2 linked regions of the Xenopus tropicalis genome follow. The protein of the gene in region 2 interacts with the protein of the main gene of each other region in a pairwise test. Links are inferred from orthologs where the notes say so. Each region holds a gene or a part of one and is shown on either strand. Other genes may lie near its edges. The genes, in order: numa1 and brap.

Region 1 (11,528 bases), on a different chromosome or scaffold from region 2:
TAGAAATGCAATTTAACACTGTATTTATACATTTGTTCTGCTGGTTTCATACCTCCGGCACATACAGAGGGTCAGCTCTTGGGTTTAAAGCACTTAGTGTAGTGCAGAAGAGGGGACTAGGGTGCACAGGGGGCACTCAGCCAGCAGGGTTCATTGTACAAGCATCATTGTGGGTTGTGCCGGGAGCAGCACTATATAAAGAATAATAAATTAGGAGCAATTACTGGGGGAGCAGCACGTTCTATGGTGGTTGGGAAGCAGAAGAGGCCACAGAAAGGGAAGGGTTAACCTGCACGGCAGAACAGAGAAATCTACACAGGGGAACTCGCTTCCCAGCAAAATCCATTACCCTGAGAGTGAGCGAAGACTCTCCGACAGCACAAGCATTAGGGGAATGGCGCCTCCGTTCCGTGCTTGTACCAGATCCTGCGTGCTGCCGCATCCCTTGGGCAAACAGTTCACAAGGAAAACAGAGAGGCCACAGTTGGTGGTGTATAAGGGGGGTGAGTAAGCGGCATGCACCGTCACCGTTTGAGTAGCTGGAGACGAGAGTTGCTTATGGGCATTACCTGCTCACTTTGCTCTTTCTTTGCCGCCTCCAGCTCTTGCACCTGCGATGGTATTAACCAGAGACATTTACTCTACGTGGCTATGGCTTTGCCCTTACAGAGCAGCACAGTAAGTACGGCTAGGGGGGCTACTGGCTAGGGTAAGCATCTACTGGGGTAATGTAAGAAAAGGCACAGGAGCAGTAACCCATAGCAACCAATCAGCGGGGTGAATTTACTGGTCTCCTGTTTAAAAGCAAACATTTTATGGGTTGCTATGGGTTACTGCTCCTGGGCAAACTTAGTGCCTGTTATTACATATGTGGGTAAGCTTGCTAATGTGCAGTAACTCATAGCACCCAATTAACAGGTAGCATGTTCTAGTCACCTGTTTATTGGTTGCTATGGGTTACTGCACTTAGGCAGGCCTGTTATTACATATAGGGGTAAGCTTGCTAATGTGCAGTAACCCATAGCACCCAATTAACAGGTAGCATGTTCTAGTCACCTGTTTATTGGTTGCTATGGGTTACTGCACTTAGGCAGGCCTGTTATTACATATAGGGGTAAGCTTGCTAATGTGCAGTAACCCATAGCACCCAATTAACAGGTAGCATGCTCTGGACACCTGTTTATTGGTTGCTATGGGTTACTGCACTTAGGCAGGCCTGTTATTACATATAGGGGTAAGCTTGCTAATGTGCAGTAACCCATAGCACCCAATTAACAGGTAGCATGCTCTGGACACCTGTTTATTGGTTGCTATGGGTTACTGCACTTAGGCAGGCCTGTTATTACATATGTGGGTAAGCTTGCTAATGTGCAGTAACCCATAGCACCCAATTAACAGGTAGCATGTTCTGGTCACCTGTTTACAAGGAAGCATCTTATTGGTTGCTATAGGTTACTGCACTTAGGCAGGCCTGTAATTACATATGTGGGTAAGACTTATTATTTCTGTACTTAATGCTCAGTACCTGAAGAAGGAGCCTCTGCTTTTCCTCCTGGAACGCTTTCCAATCATCCACAACCCTCGTTTTCACGTGCTCGTATTTGCCGGTTGCAGTTTCCAGTTTCTGGCTGAGATCTTGTACTCGCTCGTTGCCTTCTCTCAGAGTCTTCTCGTGCTGCAGGCGGAGAGACTTCAGCTGTTCCTCGTGCTGCTCCTTGAGGTTGGACACCTCGCTCTCCAGTTTCTTGGCACCCTGGTCAGAAGCTTGAGACAAGCTTTGGTTCTCCCCAACGAGCCGGCTGTTGAGCTGCTGAAGATGGGCTATTTGGGACAAGTGATCGTCGTTCTCGGAGTGCAGTTTCTGTAACCGAAGCTCTTGGTTGTGAACTTTCTCCTTGAGTAGAACCATTTCGGCCATGTCCTCCTTAGTCTTTTGCAGTTCTGCCTGGAAACGCTCAGTTAGCTTTTTCTGGCCCAGAAGTTCCTCCTGGTGCTTCTCTTGCATCACTTCCCGTTCTGCAATGATTTCCTGGTAACTGCGTTTTAGGGATGCAAATTCCTCCAGGAGGCTTTGGTTGCTGCTGAGATTCTGTTGGAGAGAAGAGATTTGCTGTTCCTTCTCAGCACAGTTTCCCTGCCAGGAGCGAATTTCCTGCTGCAAGCGATCGTTTGTTTCTGCCTGGGAGGAGAGCGACTGCTGGAGGCCCTCAACTGCCATTCTTTGCTTGTCTGCTTCTTGTCTGCAGGTTTGGGCTTCCGTCTTTAAACTATCCATAGCGCGATTCTTTTCAAGTAGCTCCTTAGAGGAGGCCTCTACATCACCATGGAGCTTTTTCAGCTTCTCTTCTAGCTTTGTGCTTCTATTAGTTTCCTTCAATAGCCGCTGTTCAAACTCCGCAGACACCTCCACCTTAGAACTCAAGCTCTTCACTTCTGCATGCAGGCTGCCCACCTCTTTACTCTTCATTTCAATTTCCTTCTGGTACTGTTCTGCTTGTTGTTTGGCCTCTGTTAAGGCTCGCTGCCTCTCCTGAGCCGCAGAAAGCATAGAGGAGAGCTCTCGACTTGACTCAGTAGAAGATTTCTGACTTTGCTCCAGTTCTTGAACCTTATGAAACAACTCTTTCTTCAGTGCTTGTAGCTCAGTTTCCTTATCTGCCTGCGCGGCCTGAGAAGCCTCCAGCTGCTTCAGCAGGTCACACGTCTTTTGCCTCTCTTTATGGATTTCACCTTCGAGCGCTTGGATTCCTTCTAGCTGTCTCTCCGACGTTGAAACCTTTTCGGAGGCCAGTGTTTCTGCCTCAGCAGCCTGTTTCTGGGCCTGACAAATCAGTTCCTTCTGCTCTTTGCACTCTCTTTCCAGATCTACTATTTGGCCCTGAAGACCTCGGGCCTCCTCCTGCTTGCTCCGATACTGCTCTTGAATGCAAGCAAGGTCTCCCTTCTGGTTCTTGATGTCGTGTTCCAAGGATTCAATATTTTTAGTTTTTTCAGAAATGATAGCTTTTAGGTTAGCCATCTCTGCTTCAGCACCCTTAGTGGCCCGGACATGCTGTGCAATCTCTTTTTCCTGCAGGGCCGCCTGTTCTTTAAGTGCAACCAAAGCAGTTAGCTCTTCTGTGAGCTTTCCCATAGTCTGTTGCTGCTTCCGTATCTCCTCTTGTGTTACGGCAGCCTCTTTATGAAGTCTTTCTACTTCACTTTCCTTCTGAGAGATGAGATCAAGGGAACGGGAAAGCTCATTCTGCAAGGCACTGAGCTCACCTTTGTGCGTATCCAACAATTTCTGCAGCTGAGCCCCCATCTCTGTTTTACTAGCCAAGTCCAACGCAGCTTTTTCTTTGGCCTCAATCAACTGCTCAATTTCAGTATTTTTCTGAGCCAGCTCTTCCTTATGCTTCTGACCGATCTCCTCTAGCTGCCTGTTCAGATCCTTCACCTCTTCAGAAAGCTTTGCAGTTTCACTTTCTCGCTCTTTAACAGCAGCTAAACTGGTTTTCACCTCAGATTCCAGGGACTGAATTCTTTCAGATTTTTGCTCTTTTAACTCTTTCACCAAGGCTTCAAGTTCTTCTTTCTTATGCTTCTCATCAGACACCTCTCTGACTAGACAATCCAGTTCTGACTTTGCATTGCTTAAGGCTGTTTCCAGATGGGAAAGACGCTCACTTTCCCCTTGATGAGCAATCTGAAATTTCTCCTCTGAAGAGTGGAGAGCAGAGAGTAGCTTCTTTTCCTCAGCTTCTCTCTCTTTGATACGAGAGTAGGCTTCAGACAGTTCACACTCCAACCGATTTATCTGCTCCAGTTGAGAAGAGTTTGTTTCCTTTATCTTGGCTTCCAACATCAAAACTTTACTCTTCTCTCCCTCCAGTTGCTGGCAAACATCAGTATGAGCCTTCTTCAGATGTTGAATTTGTTCCTCCATCTGGCAGGAGTTCTGCACTATCTTCTGCTGAGACTCTTCATATTTGGCCTTCCAGATGTCAACCACCTTAGACAACTCGTCCCTTTCTGCTTCACGCTGTTTGATAGCAGCGCTGGATTCTGCCATTTTTGCCTGCAGGGTTTCATTTGCTGTATGGTACTCCTCCTGTAAGTGCTTCAGCTGAGATTCAATCTTCTGTCCAGCGGCCCTTTCTTCAGCAAGGTTACTCAGTGCTGCATCTCTGCTTTCACTCAACTTCTTCATCTCCTCTTCAAGGTGGGAAATTCTTTTACCGTCGCTATCAAGAGAAGCAGCAAATTTCATTTTCTCTTTCTCTAGATGTTCCCTAAGATGTCTCAGACTTTCGTCCATAGACAGGAGCTGTTCTTTAAGTTGCGAGTTTTCTTCGGACACCAATTCACAGGAGGACACCTTCTTCTGATATATTTTCAGTTGACTCTCCTGCTCTGAAAGCTGTGCCTTTAGAGACTCCACAGCGGCTGCATGAGATTTGCTCTGTGAAGCATTTTCACTATCCAAGTTCTGGCATTTAGCAAGCAGATCTAGAATGGTGGCATCCAGTTCCTGTAGCTTGGATGCCAGCTCTGCCTTTTCCCTTTTCAGCTCCTCTATAACAGAAAGACTAGCTTGATGATCTTGTTCCAGTGTTTTCATGGTCATGTTTAAGACACTGAACTCTTCATCCTTTTTGCACTTGTACTCATTGAATGTGGAAAGAGTGGAATCTCTCTCACAGGCAACTTTCTGCTGTTCTTCTCTTAAATAGTCAACTTCTTTCGCCTTGCTCTCTAGCTGTTGTGTAAGTCCAACCAGATTGCCCTCGGAAACCTTCAAAGAGCTACTAATTTGCTCCACTTGGTTTACAAGCTCCTGAATGTTCTGCTTTGAGGATTCTTCCAGTATTTTGAAGTTTTCCAAGAGCTGATTTTTTTCTCTCTTCTCTTCTTCCACTTGATGGTGAATGCCCTTCAGCTCTTCCTCCTTATGCACCAGGGAAGACTTCAGCTTGGAGATCTCCAGTTTTAATGTTGTAATCTGGCATGTCAGATGTTCCTGTTGTGCCCTGGCCTCGTTATCTTGCCTCTCCTTCTGAAATGTTATTTCTGACAATGAAGTCTGCAGGTTAGTGACTATCTCCTGCAGCTGACTTTTCTCAGATTCAAATCTGGACCTCTGTGCCTCCATGTCAATTTCTGTAGTGCTCTTTTCCTCTTCCAACTGATGGATCTGTTCTGTTAGACTGAGGCACTGGGTGCTGAGCGCAGTTACCTCTTGCTTCAAGTCTTCCAGCTAAAGGAGAAAAAAAAAAAACAAACCTCAGTAAAAAACGTATGGTACTAACAGTCTTTACAGTCTCCATGCATCCATCCATACCTTGAGGATGTCACCCATACAATCTCCTTTTTCTTCCACCTCTCTCTCCCCCATCTTCTTTAGCTGATCCTCAAGCATTGATATTTTTCCCTGCAGTATTAAGTGATGCTCTTCCAGATACTTCTGCAATAACAAAACAGATATTAACGCCAAATCCACAGAACAATCTTTGTATACTTTTATATAACGGAGGAAAGGACCTTGCAGAACATACAAATCAGAAACAAAATATCACTCCGGAGAAACGTGTCAACCAACCAGTCGCAGTTTTATTTTATACTGCACATCGTGTTTCAGAACCAGTGATCCTTCATCAGGATCTGAAGCATGTTGTGTATATAATAAAACTACAACTGGTTGATTGACATAGTTCTCCGGAGTGATATTTTCTTTCTGATTTGTAAAGTCTGGATGGCGTGACGGTGCCTCTACTCTGTAAGAAAAACCTATGTACAGAAAATAACGTGGTAAACTTCACTCACTATTTTATTGTGATCCTCACAGAACATATTTTATCTAGGTGAATTAGAAGGAAAAAGGAGGGCGTTCTCAAAAGGGAGGTAGGAGTGCACCAAGAGCCCGGGAATGTGTACGGTGAAAGCTTGGGAAGGCAGCATGTAATGACAATAAAGGGTAGTAGTGAAGGGTCCAAGGGAGACATATCTGGGAAGGGCATGGGATTTGGCCTGTGCCATCTTTCAAAAGGGCTGAGCCACCCCAGGGACATGTGTGCAGGGAAAGATTGGCAGAGCCAGCGGGAGTCGCATAGTATGCCTGCTGTCCAACTTGGGGCCCCTCTCAGCACTAGTCAACCGTCTACCAAAGTGAAGGAGGACAGGTAGAGGCAAGTAGGGCGGCTTCAAGTGAGGGATGGAGCACAGAGACCCAGTAGACCAGGGATCCCCAACCTTTCTTATTTGTGAGTCACAGTCAAATGTAAAAAGACTTGGAGAGCAACACAAGCACCATAAAAGTACATGGAGGAGCCAAATAAGGGCTGTGATTGGCTATTAGGCAGCCTCTATGCACCCTATCAGCTTACAGGGGCTTTATTTGGTAGGAAATCTTGTTTTTATTCAACCAAAACTTGTCCCCAAGTCAGGAATTCAACAATAACTGGGGGCACTGAGAGCAACAGCCAAGGGGTTGGTGAGCAACATGTTGCTCACGAGACACTGGTTGGGGATCACTGCAGTAGACCTTCCAGTAGGAGAACAACCCCAAGAATCCACACCACATGGATGTCCTGTCTAACCAACAAGGACCCATAAGTCCCCTGGCTGCCACTTTTAGCCACTGGTCAAACAGGCAGCCTGTGTGTTCCCCAGCCCCACGGAGGACAGCACAAGAAGGGGCAGAGTTACAGCCCCTGTGGGAGGGGTCAAGTACAAGTTGAAGTCAGTTATTTTTAGTCTTCTGCATCCTGATGGTGGACGCTATATTCCTACAGTTCCTATATCACCTCGATAAAGGAGAAAATACCCTTCCGAAATACTTTGAAAGGGACACTAAGCTCACAATAAATATTGGTTCATAAATGCTACACCTTAAAAGGCATATTATGAATTATCAAAGGCTACCATGCTGCCTATCACAGCAACCTTCTGCCATGTCCATTATCTGGCCAATGGAGCACATCACACAGAACATGAACAACGTGTTATGATCGTTTGTTAGCATCCCCGAAGGTCAAGCTAAACCAAGCAGCCCAACACATCTGATTAAGCCATTAATTCATTACCTTTTCACCGACTGCACCACTCAGCTCACTCTCTAACTGGCTCTGTTTCTGCTCCCAGTTGCTCAGAGAAAGCTCGTGTTCCTCTGTGGTTTCATAGAGAGCCTCCTGCAGTTGTGCCAAGCGGTTGGATAAGTCTCGCACCTGCACAAAGACACATATGGGATGATATATATATGTATATGTATGTGGGGAAGTGAAACTTGTCATGTGACATGGAGGATTACAAGACCTTGTAAGAGAGCTCGCCATTCTCCTCGGCCAATTGATCGTTCTTGCGTTCCAGTTGTTTCTTGTCAGTCTTCATATCCTGACACTGCTTGAGGGTGTCCCGAAGTCTGATCATCAGGCTACGGGGAAAAAGTGCACAGGTCAGCCTTTGTGTGTGTGTGTGTGGTTTGCACATAGTGGGATTCAAATAAAGGAAGATTGCACTGGGACAACTGGGAAATATATGGAGTTGGGAGAGTTATTTCTGTTATAAGGCTTCATTTATATAGTTCTGCACTTAACAGACTGTTTCATATTCACACTAATTCCTACCCTGTGGAGCTTACAATCGAAGGTCCGTCATATTTACACGTGTCATTTTGGGGGGCTAACTAACCTCCCAGGGTGTGTCTGGAAAAGGGGAGAAGGTGCATACAAACACATACTGAACATAAAGGGGCACAGGGAGGTGTAGAGGTGCCACTCAGTAGGTTACTCACCTCTCATTCTTCTCCCGAAGTTCCTCCAGCTCTTTGGGTTCCTGTAGCTCAGCCTGGTTCTCCCTTAAGATCCGAAGGTGTTCAATCTGCTGCTGCAGGAGGGAGATCTGAGCCTCTGTAAGGAAATGAATGAGAGAGGGGGGTGACTTTGTGTCATTGATTCTACTGAGAAGTTGTAAAGGGATCCTGTTCTATTTGGTTTCCTTAAAGGGCTTTGCAAGCTCTGTGGTAACTAAAGGAAAAAACATAGCAACTTCAAATGTATAAATACAAAATACATGATTGGCGCCTGTGTCTCGGGCTTACAGATAAGGAGCTTATTTATACAGAGAGTTTGGGTAAAGGCACTGACCTTTCTCTGCCAGGTGTTTGCGGTTCTCTGCCAGTTCCACCTCCAGTTCATCTCTACAGTCCCGCACTTCACTCAGTTGCTTCTTCAGGCGCCTCATCTGGAACTGAGGGGTGTGCAGCACCTCGATCATTGGGGAAGATGGGGGGTCCGCTGACAAACTGTGAAACACCAGAAACAGAGTCAAGACACGGCCTCAGGTCAGAGCTGGGATGTAAGGAAGGAACCATGGCACAATCAAACAATATCAAATCTAAACTGACGGCAGAATTGGATTCCTCATGTAAAACCAACTCCAAATTAAAGACCCTTGAGTTAACTTTATGTTATTGAACGTCCTATTCCCTAGCAACATTGAAATTGGTCTTTATTATTTATTGTTTTGTGAATTATTTGCCTCCCTCTTGTACATCTTTCCAGCTTTTAAACGGAGGGGGGTCACTGACCCAGGCAGCAAGAAAATGAATATTATTAACTTCTTTTTATTTCTTATCTTCCCATTCGGGTCCTCTCCTAATCATATTCCAGTCTCTCATTCAAAACACTTCCTGGTTGCTAAAGTAAACAAGACCCTAGCAACCAGAAATTCCAAACTGGAGAGCTGAAGAAAAAGCCGAATAACTTTGAAACCACAGAAAATAAGTAATGAAAACAAATTGCAAATTTTCTCAGAATATCAATGTCTACATCATACTAAGTTAGTTTAGAGGTGAACAAACCCTTTGCAAAAAAAAAAAAAAAAAACGAAAATGCTTTTTTTTTTGCAAAGCCCTCACACATAGGCTGTGCCAAGATCTGACACACAGGGGGCAGTGTTGTGCTGGGAAAGCAGTTCCCCCTGTCTGTCAGAGCTGAGCACAGCCCAAAGGTACAGGAATAATGGGCTTGCAAGTTCAAGCGCAGGGCAACAATCAGCAGAAAGGGGAGGGGCTGTTGTCCTCGGATTTTGGCCTGAAAGGGGCCGGTGGATATAAAAAGCCATGCACATTGTGTAACTGGGGTTAAAATTTACTTACACCATTTATGTAACAATTAACTGACTCATTAACAAAAATTAATGGAACTATTTATATAAGCTGCTTATTATACATGAACTTTCCAGCAGGGGAATGACTGGTTATTATAGAGTCACATCAGCTGTTTGTATTGGGATCTATTTACTGACTGATATGAGCGGCTCCTACATGAACTTTCCAGCAGGGGAATGACTGGTTATTATAGAGTCACATCAGCTGTTTGTATTGGGATCTATTTACTGAATGATATGAGCGGCTCCTACATGAACTTTCCAGCAGGGGAATGACTGGTTATTATAGAGTCACATCGGCTGTTTGTATTGGGATCTATTTACTGACTGATATGAGCGGCTCCTACATGAACTTTCCAGCAGGGGAATGACTGGTTATTATAGAGTCACATCAGCTGTTTGTATGGGGATCTATTTACTGAATGATATCAGCGGCTCCTACATGAACTTTCCAGCAGGGGAATGACTGGTTATTATAGAGTCACATCAGCTGTTTGTATGGGGATCTATTTACTGACTGATATGAGCGGCTCCTACATGAACTTTCCAGCAGGGGAATGACTGGTTATTATAGAGTCACATCAGCTGTTTGTATTGGGATCTATTTACTGACTGATATCAGCGGCTCCTACATGAACTTTCCAGCAGGGGAATGACCGGTTATTATAGAGTAACACCTTCTGGAAAGTTCATGTAGGATCCGCTTTTTTGTTTCTCCTGCACCTAAGCAAAATACCAGTCTGCCCAAGAGTTTGCTATAAAGCAGCAGGATATTTACCTTTTCATAGTAGATGAGGAAGCAACACGATGCAGCTCCAGAAAGCGCACTTCGCTCTTCCGCCTGTGGGACACATTAGGAGACGCGGCGTCGGAGCAACTGGACGTATCATCTCCCAAGGAGGGAAAACGCGCTGGAAGAGAAGAGGTCTCATAAGCAAGAGTGAGGCACAATGCAGGGGAGGTGTTACTGAATATACACCAATATATGCCAAGGGCACAAACATGCAGCCTGCTCGCACACCACATAATTATTTACATTTAGCAAAGCAAAAATGTCCCTAAAACACGCGCCCAGCACACAATTCTGCCTCACCTTTCCGCTGCAGGAAGTTGATAAGTTTGTCGTCCAGACAGAGAGCATCTTCATTATCCAGTACAAAGCGCAAGATGGAGGCCAGCTCTGTCTGCAAGTGCAGAAATTCATAATGAGAGAGTGAAATCTTAGATAATGCACCTTCATTGGGTCACAAAATGGCAGGAAAGCGCTCAGCCAATCAAAGTTACTGGTCCAATTACTATGAACCAACATAGCAGCAGGAGGCTTCCTCACCTGAGTTTTATGATCAAAATCCTCAGATTTCTTCGGGTTTTTGGAGCTCATAGTTGAGTAATAGAAGAGAAGGACGATTGCCTGTGAGATATAACGAAGGGGTGCAGTTAGAACAGTTTAACTTCTAGTAGTGAGTCCATTAGGGTGAAGACACAGAGATACTTAGTAGCTGCTACTAGTAGCGCCATGTGTTTCACCCATACTTGCCTATTGCTTTACTGTGGTATTTCATTCTCTCTGCTGCAGAGAGACAATTCTACAGATACTTTTCTGTATCAGCTGCAGATCCCTTTTACCCAATAAGAGATTCCAGCCATCTCATAAAGAAAGTGGCATGTTGGGAAAAATGGTAGGGGAGCCAATGCTGCTGTGCAGGGAGTACAAATATAAGCCACTCACAGGCCTTTCGTGTAAGTGCAAATCTTATGGGCAGAGAAAGGCAGCACCCACTGGCAGCTGCTAAAGGTGGCCATACACGGGCCAATTGTAGCTGCCGATATGGGTCCCTTAGACCGATTCGGCAGCTTATAGGCCCGTGTAGGGGCAGAAGCGAGGGACATGCACGACCGATATCTGGCCTGAAATTGGGCAGATATTGATCGGGCAGGTTAAAAGATTTAGTCGGATCGGGGACCGCGTCGGCTCGTTGATGCGGTCCCCGAAGCGACTGCCCCATTGCCGCCATTATAATTCGATCGAATTAGCCTACATGTTCCCCAATATCGCCCACCCGTAAGTGGGGATATCAGGTGAAGATTCACTCGCTTGGCGACCTCTTCACGTGTATGGGCACCATAAGGCCTAAGGTTGCCTATGCTCCCAGTGGGAAAGGGGACAGAGCTATAAATCAGCAGAAGAGTCGGAGTGGGATGGATGGCAGGGAGAATGGGCATGTGAGAGAGAGGGCAATTGTGCAGCCGGAAAGTACCTTGGAAAGTTCCACTTCCAGGTTCTCCCCCTGCAGAATCTTCTGCCATTGCACCAAGTTTTCAGCTGAGGAGCCCGGCCGGCAATACCCTACAGAAAGAGAGAATGAGTGAGATTTACTCAG
Region 2 (11,528 bases):
CTGCATAAGACAAAACTGAATTTCAGGGCTCATGTCAAAAAGGGGGTATATTTTCTCTTTAATGATGGTAAAGAACGCTATACTTGCTGCTGGTTTTTCTATCATTGTTATATATACAGTGGAGGAAATAATTATTTGACCCCTCACTGATTTTGTAAGTTTGTCCAATGACAAAGAAATGAAAAGTCTCAGAACAGTATCATTTCAATGGTAGGTTTATTTTAACAGTGGCAGATAGCACATCAAAAGGAAAATCGAAAAAATAACTTTAAATAAAAACTCCTCCCGTGTAGTTCTAGGATGCTTTTTCACCTTTCTCAGAATCATTGACACCCCACGAGGTGAGATCTTGCGTGGAGACCCAGAGCGAGGTCGATTGATGGTCATTTTGTGCTCCTTCCATTTTCGAACAATCGCACCAACAGTTGTCACCTTCTCTCCCAACTTCTTGCTAATGGTTTTGTAGCCCATTCCAGCCTTGTGCAGGTCTACAATTTTGTCTCTGACATCCTTGGACAGCTCTTTGGTCTTTCCCATGTTGGAGAGTTTGGAGTCTGCTTGATTGATTGATTCTGTGGACAGGTGTCTTTTATACAGGTGACTAGTTAAGACAGGTGTCCTTAATGAGGTTGACTAATTGAGTAGAAGTGTCTAACCACTCTGTGGGAGCCAGAACTCTTAATGGTTGGTAGGGGTTCAAAAACTTATTTCACTCAATGAAATGCAAATCAGTTGCTATCTTTTATTTAAAGTTATTTTTTCGATTTTCCTTTTGATGTGCTATCTGCCACTGTTAAAATAAACCTACCATTGAAATGATACTTTTCATTTCTTTGTCATTGGACAAACTTACAAAATCAGTGAGGGGTCAAATAATTATTTCCTCCACTGTATACGGTTACATGGTTTTTGTCTGTAAAGTACCTTGCCTCACAGGCCTGGATTTCATACTGTTTATGCCGACCCACCAAAAATAAATGTTTTCAGATTATCTAAATTAAAGAACAGAAGGATCAGAAAATATTAAATAAATATATAAAATGTTTCTTGGTGATTAATCCTCGTTTACTCCAGGGTGGTTAAGTTGGCAGATTTCAAAGACAGCCTGGCCGCTATATTGCTGTTAAGTGGTTGATGGGAAATCTTAAGGTCTACAGCAAGTCATGCAACACTCAGAGGGCATATGAGGACAACAGTTCTCACTACTGCCAAAATTAAAAAAAAAAAAAAGAAGACAAGACAGATATGCATTGATGTTAAGGTTGCCTTTACTGTGGTTCTTTTCAAGAACAGTGAAGTGAACTGGGTATAAGAAAGATCTTAAGTTGTAATGCATGCTTTGTACATTAACTTACATAAAGAAATGTTTAGTGAAAACAGAGAAACATGTTTTCACACTCACATACTTTGTATACATTACATTACAATATCAGCGTTGTTTTTTATTTACCTAAAAGCAAACAGAGAATTTGCCAACTACAACTTGTACGGAAGTAAAATTGTGTATTTAGTGGTCTAGTTGGTAATGTGTGTGTCTGGAGTCAAACCAAACAAACAATACAAAAACAACCTCTTACCAACATGTGGCCCCAGCAGACCAGTTATGCCGTACATTTACTAACAAGTCAACAGAGCTAGGTAACAGAGAAAGGAACAACCTCCAAGCGTCTCCCACAATTCCCCAGTTCTTCCTAAATTCCAGCCTAGCTGCATTAGACACCCAGCCTTGATTCTTTCCAGCTAATTAGCCACCCAAATGCTGGATGATGGGCAAGTTGTTTAGTCTATAGTTAAAATGGAGAGATTATGACCATAAGGCCAAATAATCTCTTATCTGGGGATGTGTGAGGAAGTTATAGCTACTTTAGCCAGAGATCTCACATTGACTCAGAGCTGAAATGATTTGCTAAAAATGGTCTGCTGAGGGCCTATGATTGGAGTTAACTGTTCCAAGTGGGTTATAAACAAGATAATCAGCTGACCATCTCACTGTGCGTGCCCAGCTTTATAAATTGCACAATAGCTGCTTTGTATACTGTGCCAGAAAAGCTGCCAGCATAGAAACTTGCACAATTGAACACTGCTAGCTATTTGACTAACATAATATATTCATCATTTCAATACCCTTATAAGCCTGCCTACCATATCTTGGGCAACCAACAGTAAGAGATTCATGGAAAACATTAGACAGCAGTAACTAGTATGCTAGTCTCGAGAACAGAAACACTACACTGACACCATAGGAGCTTTGTAACACAATAATATTTGTGTAGAATACACCATTTAAGTTCAGTAAATGGAACCATATATAAATGTTGTTCTAATAATTTAAAGGGCCAGTAATATACAAACTGAAAGAGCTTCCAGCTGTTCCTTTAAAAGTAATGCACTTTTTTTCTACTTGTGGAAAAATTGTGGCAAATGACCTCTTAGGGCTCTGGCACACAGGGAGATTAGTCGCCCGCGAACAGGGAGATTTGTCGCGGGCGACTAATCTCCCTGTGTGCCAGAGCCCTAAGAGGTCATTTGCCACAATTTCCCCGAGTTGCCATCCCACCGGCTAAAATGTAAGTCGGCGGTGGGATAGCACACGCTGCGCAGGCGATTTCGGGAAATCGCCGAAAATGCCTCGCGAGGCAACTTACATTTTCGCCGGTGGGATGGCAATCCGGGGAGATTAGTCGCCCGCGAACAGGGAGTTTTATCTCCCCGTGTGCCAGAGCCCTTACAAATGTCAGACAGGTAACCAGCCATAAGAATTTTCAGTCATGAATGTCCAATGAGATCAGATGTCAACTGCTCAGAATGATTGTTTGATAGCAGATAGCACCATAAGTGGTAAGGTTTTTTATGGATAATGAAAAATTTTTTTAGAGATACATACAGTATCCTATAAGTTATTTTCTGATTACAGTGCAATAACTTTTAGTATTTAATTACAACTTAGGGTTTCGGCACTTGGTGTTTTGCTGCTCTTAAGCTCTCTAGTACACGATTGGCAAAATACTGTAAAATACCCTTTTTTCCAGCAGTTTGCCACCTGCAAGAGTGTCAAAATGTGTCATTACTCTAAAGGGAGAAAACATAACTACTAAAAGAGCAATGCAAAAAAATGATATTTGCAGGTAATAAATATGCAAAAGATAATACCTGAATTTATAGAAATCTTTTTAACTTTTTTGGTATTACTGGTCCTTTAATAGCTGAAGAAATGCCATACATTAAAAGGGTTTTATAACCCAACAAAACTTTTAAATCAAATAAATAAATAGGATAATGAAGCCATTATACATGGTACAGTCCCTTATTATAGCTGTATAAAACACCATAAGGATTAGCCAAGACATGTGATATAGCAAACAAGCAAGCATAGTAGCAAAGCTGAACAGGGATCAGTTGGAACAGACTTACCCCCTAATATAGTGTTACAGCAAACATAAATAATGGAGGACTCTATAACTACTTGTCACACTAACTTTCTGCTTGCATTTACTTATTGAAACTTTTTGGTATGCCATGTTGCAGTTGTGCTTGTTTGCTACACAGTGATAGCTGGTTCCAGTTTTGGAAAGAAGAAATAGGGACTGTGCAGGGTGGATTACTCCAGTAAAGGCAGCTGGGATGTCATGTGCATAGTGAATTTGTGTCTTTGACTAGACAATATAAATAGGCTTCAGTGATGCTTCAATGGCAGCTACAGTCCAGAAAGAAGTTGTTGCCATATTTATGTGTACAACTGATGTATACTTACATTCATACACCAGCACATACACAGCTCTATGCAGAAATGGCAATATATTTAGGAATCTGAACAACAATCCCAAAGGTACCTAAGCTCCAAACATATGGTAGGCTAATATGGTGCCAAAATCTCCCAGTGCTTTAGTTACTCTGTAGGTATATTATTCACCATAACAATAGCCACTAGTAAGTAAGCAATAAGCTAGTTTAGATCTTTCCACACAAATATTCATAAAACAGACCATATCTGGCTAAGCTCAACAGCAGAAAGTTATATATTTGGCCTCTTGCTTTTCAAGTCTTTTTGTACTGGTTTTACTGACAGTTGTACGGCTAAATTGTTTCTGAACAAGTTCACAAACAAATCATGGAAGAGGTCTGAAAATAAACCATATTGTACCTACTAGTGCTTGATAGCTGAAATAAATAATGCCAGAAGCTCTTAAATCTCCAGCAGAAAATGGAAGAATTCCTACCTGAACAGCCTAAATTCTGTCTCAGGAAAATATTTTAAAGTCAAAACTGTGACAGAAGAACCCTTAAGACGATACATAACAAAGGGATAAAAGACAACTTATTTGCCCCTTTTTCCACGCCCCTTCCGAGATGAGAGCTTTCCGGAAGCAGCAGGAGAACTGGGGGATGCTATGTTGATCTGGCCATCCTGTATCTCCTGTCGAGTGTCTGCAGGCATATGGTTTATTTTTTGCTGTGTTTCCAAGTAAAACATTACATCTCTCAGTTGCTCCTGCATTTCTAAGAGCTGCACGTCCTTCTGCTCGCAGGTTTCCTTGCGCATTATTTCCTCTTCTCGAAGCCTGGATTGCAGCATGGTTTGATTGGCCCTAAGGCACTTGTTCATTTCTTGCTCTTCTTTCAGCTCAGTGGAGAGCTTGGCCACTTTACTGTTCAACTGGGCACACCTTCCAATAAAATAGAAAAAACACCTGATTAGATTATTCCTTGACTTGCAGCAAACACTTAGGGGTATATTTATCCTGCTGTGTAAAAAGTGGAGTAAAGCATTAGGGCTCTGGCACACAGGGAGATTAGTCGCCCGCGACAAATCTCCCTTGTCACGGGCGACTAATCTCCCCAAACTACCATCCCACCGGCAAAAATGTAAGTCGCCGATGGGATGGCACATGCTGCGCAGGCTATTTTGGCAAATCGCCGAAAATGCCTCGCGAGGCAACTTCCGCGATTTGCCGAAATCACCTGCTCAGCGTGTGCCATCCCACCGGCGACTTACATTTTCGCCAGAGGGATGGTAGTTTGGGGAGATTAGTCGCCCGTGACAAGGGAGATTTGTCGCGGGCGACTAATCTCCCTGTGTGCCAGAGCCCTTACCGGTGATGTTGCTCATAGCAGCCAATCAGATGCTTTGCTTTGGCTTTCTAACTGTTAAAATCTAATTGCTGATTGGCTGCCCTGGGCAATATCACTGGTAATGCTTCACTCCACTATTTTTACACAATGATAAATATACCCCTTAGAATCATGTGATAAACACAGCTTGGTTTGTACTCCAGGAAATGGCATGCTCAACATATCTGGAGAGTCACTGTGCCCAAATTATACTTTCACCTTTGAGTTTATTTTTCCCTTGTCAAGCTCTTTGTTGGCTTCAAAAATAAGAAGAATCAGGCTCTCTTTGAAAGGAGATATATGCCTGCCTTCGAACAAACTACATAAATAGGCTGTTTTCCAAGGCTTAATATTCCACATTCGAAGTGCAAACCCCATCATTCTCCACAGAAGAAAAAGTACTGTAGATGGAGTAACCAAGCTTAAACTGCAACCTTCTCTACTGATGCGCCACAACACCTTTTAAAGGGGCCACGTCTGTCCATGAACAGCTAACATGACACTGAAAATGACACAGTTCTTTTCCCCTTTGCATTTGTCTAATGGAAACTTTAAGAAAAGAAGATACAATGATAACATTCTTGGAGGGTTTTTCCTACTTTCTATAAAGTGGCTGCTACTGACTTAACTATATCCTGTCTTGGCATTCATCTATGTCTACTTATCACAAAACGTACATTTCTTCTTTAAAAGCGTTTCTTGCCCAGGGGTGTATTACAGGGGCCACATGCACAATTTATTATTATTATTATTATTATTATTAAATGCTGCTAAAAAAATACTTTAACACTCAAACTCCTAGAAAGCCCATTTTCTTTTTTCATTTGAATTACCCTGATGCTGTTAACTCTTTACAACTCTGCAACTAGGTGATTAAAGCAGTTCACACATAATGGACAAGCCAGGAGGCTCTGTCATTAAGGGCTTTGGCACACGAGGAAATTTGTCGCCTGCGTTTTTTCCCCCAGGCGCTTTGGCGACAAGTCGCCACGACAATACACACGAAGAGATTTCATGCGAGTTGAGCTCCAGGCGATCTGCTACCCATGGTACCACTCAACAGTTAACCCCCCCATATGTTTACTCAAGTCACTCAGAAAAGGGTCTGTGTGTGATTTGAAACAGCAGGCGATTTGAAGTAGCCTCGTATGTTTTGACGCTGGCGATTTCCATTGGTTTAGCATTGGCATCTTGTCGCTCGTCTTGTCGCCAAATCGCTCTTTTAAAAATCGCCAGCGACAAATCTCCTCATGTACCAGAGCCCTAAAGGAACATTAAAGTAATTCCAATATAATGTACTGTTGCCCTGCACTGGTGCTGTTTAGCCAAGGGGGCAGCCATTCAAAGGAGAAAAGGCACAAGTTACTTAGCAGATAAAAGATAAAACACTATTGTATTCTACAGAGTTTATCTGTTACCTGCTATGTAACCTGTGTCTTTTCTCCTTTTTCCAGCTTAAATGGCTGCCCCTGTGGATACACAACAGCCTGGGGCATAGAGGTGGGGGGCAGGCCATATACGATTGACAGCTCAGATTTTTAATTACAATTACTTTATCTTTCCATTCGGAACTTCCTAGATATCACCTAGATGGCAAATGCATAAGATTTTGGGGTGATACAAAGCTTGTGTACACAAAATGGTGCCTGCCTGCTGACTGTGACTGAAAGTTCCAAGACTAAACAGAAAAAAACATTAAATTGTTTATATGGTGTAAGTGAAGTTTATTTTGCTCAACTAACATGATAGAAAAGAATTTGAAATTATTTTTTAGGGTGACAGGTCCTCTTTAACCCAATGTGGTGCTTTATGTCTCTGTGCATAATTTAGGCAAACAATATTTTGTTTTGGACACCAAAATAATTAACTAGAACCCTGCAGTATTTGTTTAAAAATATAAAAAAATTATTTTAAAAAAAATGGCCATACACAACACAATGTGTATAGTACCCCATTAATCAGATCAAGGGCCAAATGGATGGGTATCTTGCAAGAGGCGATCCATGTATATGGACCCTTTTTTATTGCTGTTGGTTTGGGCCTCTATACTTCCTTTTGGTGGTCTGATGAAAAGTTTAACTAAGAGGTTAGAGAAATGAAAGCAGGAAGTGCTCTGGCCATTATGTTATGTGACATCTGCTCATTCCAGCCTTTATAGATTCCATTTTTGCCTAAGCAACTATATTAGAAATATTTTTTATTTTGCGCAGTCTGTTTTGCCCAGTTTCATTTTTACACTGAACTGTTACTTTAAGGCTTGAATTCAGATACAGTCAAAAATTGGTCTGCAGCTGGGAACTGATCAGAAACAGCACTTTACACCATCAAGAGAAAAACAAAGGTGTAGACTGCTATAATAAAATTCAGTCAAATACTAACCACACTAAACCCTTACCTTCTTTCCACAGCTTGTTTCTCTTTGCTCAGGTCATTAAGTCTATGCTCCAGGCTGTCACACTTATCTATGGTCTCCTTAAACTTTGCCTTCATGTTATTAATCTATAATCAGAAACGAATGTTGGGTGAATTCATACAGGCCACTATGTTGTGTTTGACCTTATCATAATGGCAAGAATGGCACTTGTCTATAAAAGCAGCAGTAGGAAGCTTAAAATCCAATGTGTTGCAGCAGTGTGTCTCTTGAAAGTGGGTGTTAACTATACAATGATGCCAAATTTTATCCTGTGTTTAAAAAATCATCTTTGCTCTATAATAGCAATGTAGGAGGTCTCTTAAAAGGCAATTAAGCCCAAATTCATTGGAGAGTGCCTGGCATGTGTAACCCCCAGTGAATTCAGTTGGTAAGTTTTTTCCCTGGCCACTGCTGTTTTTGGAAAACATGCACCAACTCGGGGAACTATCAGCGCAGCAAACTTTCTTCACTTTCTCAGGTTCTTTGTGAAGACTTGCACCTGTAAAATGGAATCAGTCTCATTTAATGCACAGCCTAAAGGTGGCCATAGATGGGCCGATTCTAACTGCTGATATCGGTCCCTTAGACCGATTCGGCAGCTAATTGGCCCATGTAGGGGCACTAACGACGGGCCTGCCTGACTGATATCTGGCCTGAAATTCATTAAAAATTGTAGTTGGATCGGGGACAGCATCAATGAGCCGATGTGGTCCCCGATCAGACTAAATTTTTTATCCTGTCTGATCGAGGTCCGACTTCGCCTATACCCGTCATTCTAATTCGATCGCTTGGCCCCCGGACCAAACGACCAAATTAGCCTGGATTTGCCCAATATCACCCACCCGTAGGTGTATGGCCACCTTAAGTGTAAGTCTTTGGATGGATGCCTAAAAGAGAAAGAAGTGGTGCTATGCTGCTAAAGAAAGTACCCCAGGTTTGTTCATATTTTCCAAAAAAAAAAAAAAAAAGAGCACCAGATACTTAGGAACTGAATTTACTGGGGATGCCTTACTTTTTTCTTTTTTAACCTAATTTGCAAATTACCACAATTATTTTGGGTTTGGAAAGTCAACATGCACATACCACAAGGGACAAATTTAAGCATGTCTCTAACCTCTTCTGCTGTATCTTTTTCCAGGCGCACAATTTTGTTCTCCCAGTAAATACGTTGTGATTCCAGCTGACTGGTGAGAAGGTACGAGTACTAAAGCAATACAGAAACACAATATTGAATAAGACAGAGGGTTTTATGAATCTATTATCTTTTTAGTTATGCTAGAGGGCAATAATATATACACACTGAACAAGTGGAAGGGTGTCCAAACTTTTGCACTTACCACACTGTTTTCTTTGTTCCTGTGTTTTAAAGTTAGTAAAATAAAACATGACTGTTCAGTAACATTTGCAACCTACTGATTCCTATGGAGACCACTAGCAAGGGATTCAATAAAAGGGTTGGTTAGCAAAAAAAAAAAAAAAAATAATAATATTGGCTTTATTATCTGGAATGCTCAGGGCTGGATTCCTCCCAAGGGCACCTACAGGCCAGAATCCTACATTGTCCCCACCCAACCCCCCCCCCCCACAGCATCCCACGAATATGCATCTTATGTCCCTGTGTATGGAGATCCAAATTATGGACAGATGGAGAGATTAGTCGCTGCGATTTTTAAAAAGCGAGTGGTTATAGCACTTTGACTTATCTTGATAAAAGTCTATTAACCAAAATGTCAACAATGTACTTAATTAGCGATAAGGCCAAAAAACAAAAGAAAACTATTCTGAGTTAGTTCAAGTTTCTTACTTCTAGCTGTAGAGAATCAATCTTTTCATCCTGGCAGGTGTCTCCTTCACATTCATACTGAACAATTTTGCCATCTGTTTTGCTTGCAACCAATCGATGGACATAATTATCTGGAGTTAAAAGCATATAATTTTTTTTTGCAACTAGAACCATACATAGGTTGAAGACAGATAAAATAACATAATAGCAAAATTCCATGTAGTGCTGCCTTTTCCAGCCCTAAGAGAGCCCAAGGGGTATTGTCTCCAGCAGACCTTTGTACAATCATCTCATATATTGAAATTAGGAGTGTTTGTTTGGCTGCTGAACAGCTATATTTGCCAGCAATCACTAACACAGTATACAAAGTGCTGGGTAGAGGACTACAGGATGCAAATGTTACCTCTAAATGTAGGCACCCTTGTAGTTGTCAGTCTTTAGTTTACTCAGTGGAAATCATACAGATCAACCTTAAAGCATCTATAAGCCCTGCAAATGTGGTTTATTTTGTAGACTGCATTCTGCTGAACTGCATCCAGGCACTGTGGTTCCTTGTTACCAGTGTGCCAGCTTTTGTTGTTGATATTATATATTATGTATATATGTATGTGAGTATGAAGTGTGTGTCACATAAATGACATCTAATGACATTATCAGAAAGAAAACCAAATTGTGTGGCAATAAAACAAGCAAATAAACAACAAAAAACTGTTTGCTCACCTCCTGCATAATCCCAGACTCTATGATTTGTCAGCTGCATTGCATAGGTGTGTTGTGTTTCTTCAAAGTGCTTATATGCATGCCTACTTACATATCTTCCACATCCAATGTGGCCACAGATTAGACAGATCCAGAGGTTCTGCCAGAGCAAAGAGAAATAGAAGCAGTGCACTTTTATTCTTTTACCTAATTGCCAATATTTGACTTCTTAAGGGTAGCCTGATAATAACCAACTTTCAGTATTTTACACATTGAAATTTACCCAAGCATTTGGTTAAAGAAAGCTTAATGCCTAGGACATACATAGACACACTTTTGGGTGTTTTGTCCACAACATTGCAAATCCAAGAGATTATCCCGACTACACTTCATCACTGGAAAACGTGCTTGTTTTCATGCAAAAATTGCTTGAAAATTGACAGCGCTGGCATTTTCTTGTGAGTCCTATTTAACAGTAATGAGGCAATTGTGGGCATCCACCACATTCTGTGTGGTGTAAAACTTTTAGTGTTTTATTAGTGTGCCTCAGAATGGCATACTAAACTCTGCATTTGGTTTGTTCCTATATATTTCCCACAATAGTGTATTGTAATGCTGTGCAAATAAGTTTTACCAACCATTATAATATTATTAAAAAAGGCATCCTAAGCACAATGCTGCAGATGCTAAGCCTGCATGTTTTCTACCCTTTACTGTGGGCAAGTACCAAACAGGATACAGGAAAAACTACGTCCAGATTAGCAAAAAGTCGCAGTTCTAGACATCAGCAATATGGATATACCTAACATACATACATTTTATTCATATTAGAGAAAAGCAACTGGGAATTATTTTCAATATAAAGAAGATACAGAGTAAATAAAGACAACATGTTTTCCTGTCCAGTTTTTGAATGGCAACTTACTTCCTGAACACCACATTCAAAGCATTTGTTTTCCTCTACTGGCTCGGGAGTTTGGCAGTATCTACACACAGGGCATCTGTAACACAGAGAAGCCACACTTACATTGTGCCTTGCTAGCATTTAAACAATCTAAACAGTGATCCCAAACCAGTAGCTCCTGACGAGCAACATGTTGCTCATCATCCCTCTTTAATGTTGCTCCCAGTGGTCTCAAAGTAGGTGCCCATTTTTAAATTTCTGGCTTGAAGGCAAATTGTGGAAGCACAGAGACACAGTTTAGGCATAGTGGTGGGGCTGGCAGTTACTTTCACTTTCAATTCAGAACTTCTTAGATGTCGCTGCACTCCTCACATTCCCCCTCCCTTCTTACAATCTAATTTTGTAACCAGTGCATATACTGTACATGGGCATCAGGTCCCCCCATAGTGGCACAGAAATAAGATTTTGGCAGGATGCAAACCTTGCCTCAATAACAGTGTCCAAAAAATGGCACCTGCCTGCTTTCTGCAACTGTGAATTCCAAGGCTGAAGAAAATAAGATTAAACTAATTTATATGGTGTAAGTGAAGTTTATTTTGGTGGAAGAATGTACATGTCTT

Evidence for each region.
Region 1: the proteins of brap (region 2) and numa1 interact in a two-hybrid assay, tested with the Homo sapiens proteins (2 studies listed by BioGRID and IntAct). The link is inferred for Xenopus tropicalis from reciprocal best matches to the Homo sapiens genes BRAP and NUMA1.

The regions. Positions count from the first base shown.
Region 1 is NC_030678.2:178,861,906-178,873,433, reverse strand, and holds part of numa1 (nuclear mitotic apparatus protein 1), read right to left. Parts: intron 11,495-11,528; coding exon 11,406-11,494; intron 10,559-11,405; coding exon 10,478-10,558; intron 10,332-10,477; coding exon 10,241-10,331; intron 10,059-10,240; coding exon 9,926-10,058; intron 8,282-9,925; coding exon 8,124-8,281; intron 7,887-8,123; coding exon 7,772-7,886; intron 7,412-7,771; coding exon 7,294-7,411; intron 7,206-7,293; coding exon 7,065-7,205; intron 5,447-7,064; coding exon 5,324-5,446; intron 5,240-5,323; coding exon 1,526-5,239; intron 612-1,525; coding exon 570-611; intron 1-569. UniProt on the Homo sapiens protein: Microtubule (MT)-binding protein that plays a role in the formation and maintenance of the spindle poles and the alignement and the segregation of chromosomes during mitotic cell division.
Region 2 is NC_030677.2:163,064,606-163,076,133, reverse strand, and holds the end of brap (BRCA1-associated protein), read right to left. Parts: intron 11,006-11,528; coding exon 10,930-11,005; intron 10,165-10,929; coding exon 10,026-10,164; intron 9,437-10,025; coding exon 9,327-9,436; intron 8,727-9,326; coding exon 8,637-8,726; intron 7,609-8,636; coding exon 7,505-7,608; intron 4,665-7,504; coding exon 4,316-4,664; 3' UTR 2,810-4,315; downstream 1-2,809. UniProt on the Homo sapiens protein: Negatively regulates MAP kinase activation by limiting the formation of Raf/MEK complexes probably by inactivation of the KSR1 scaffold protein.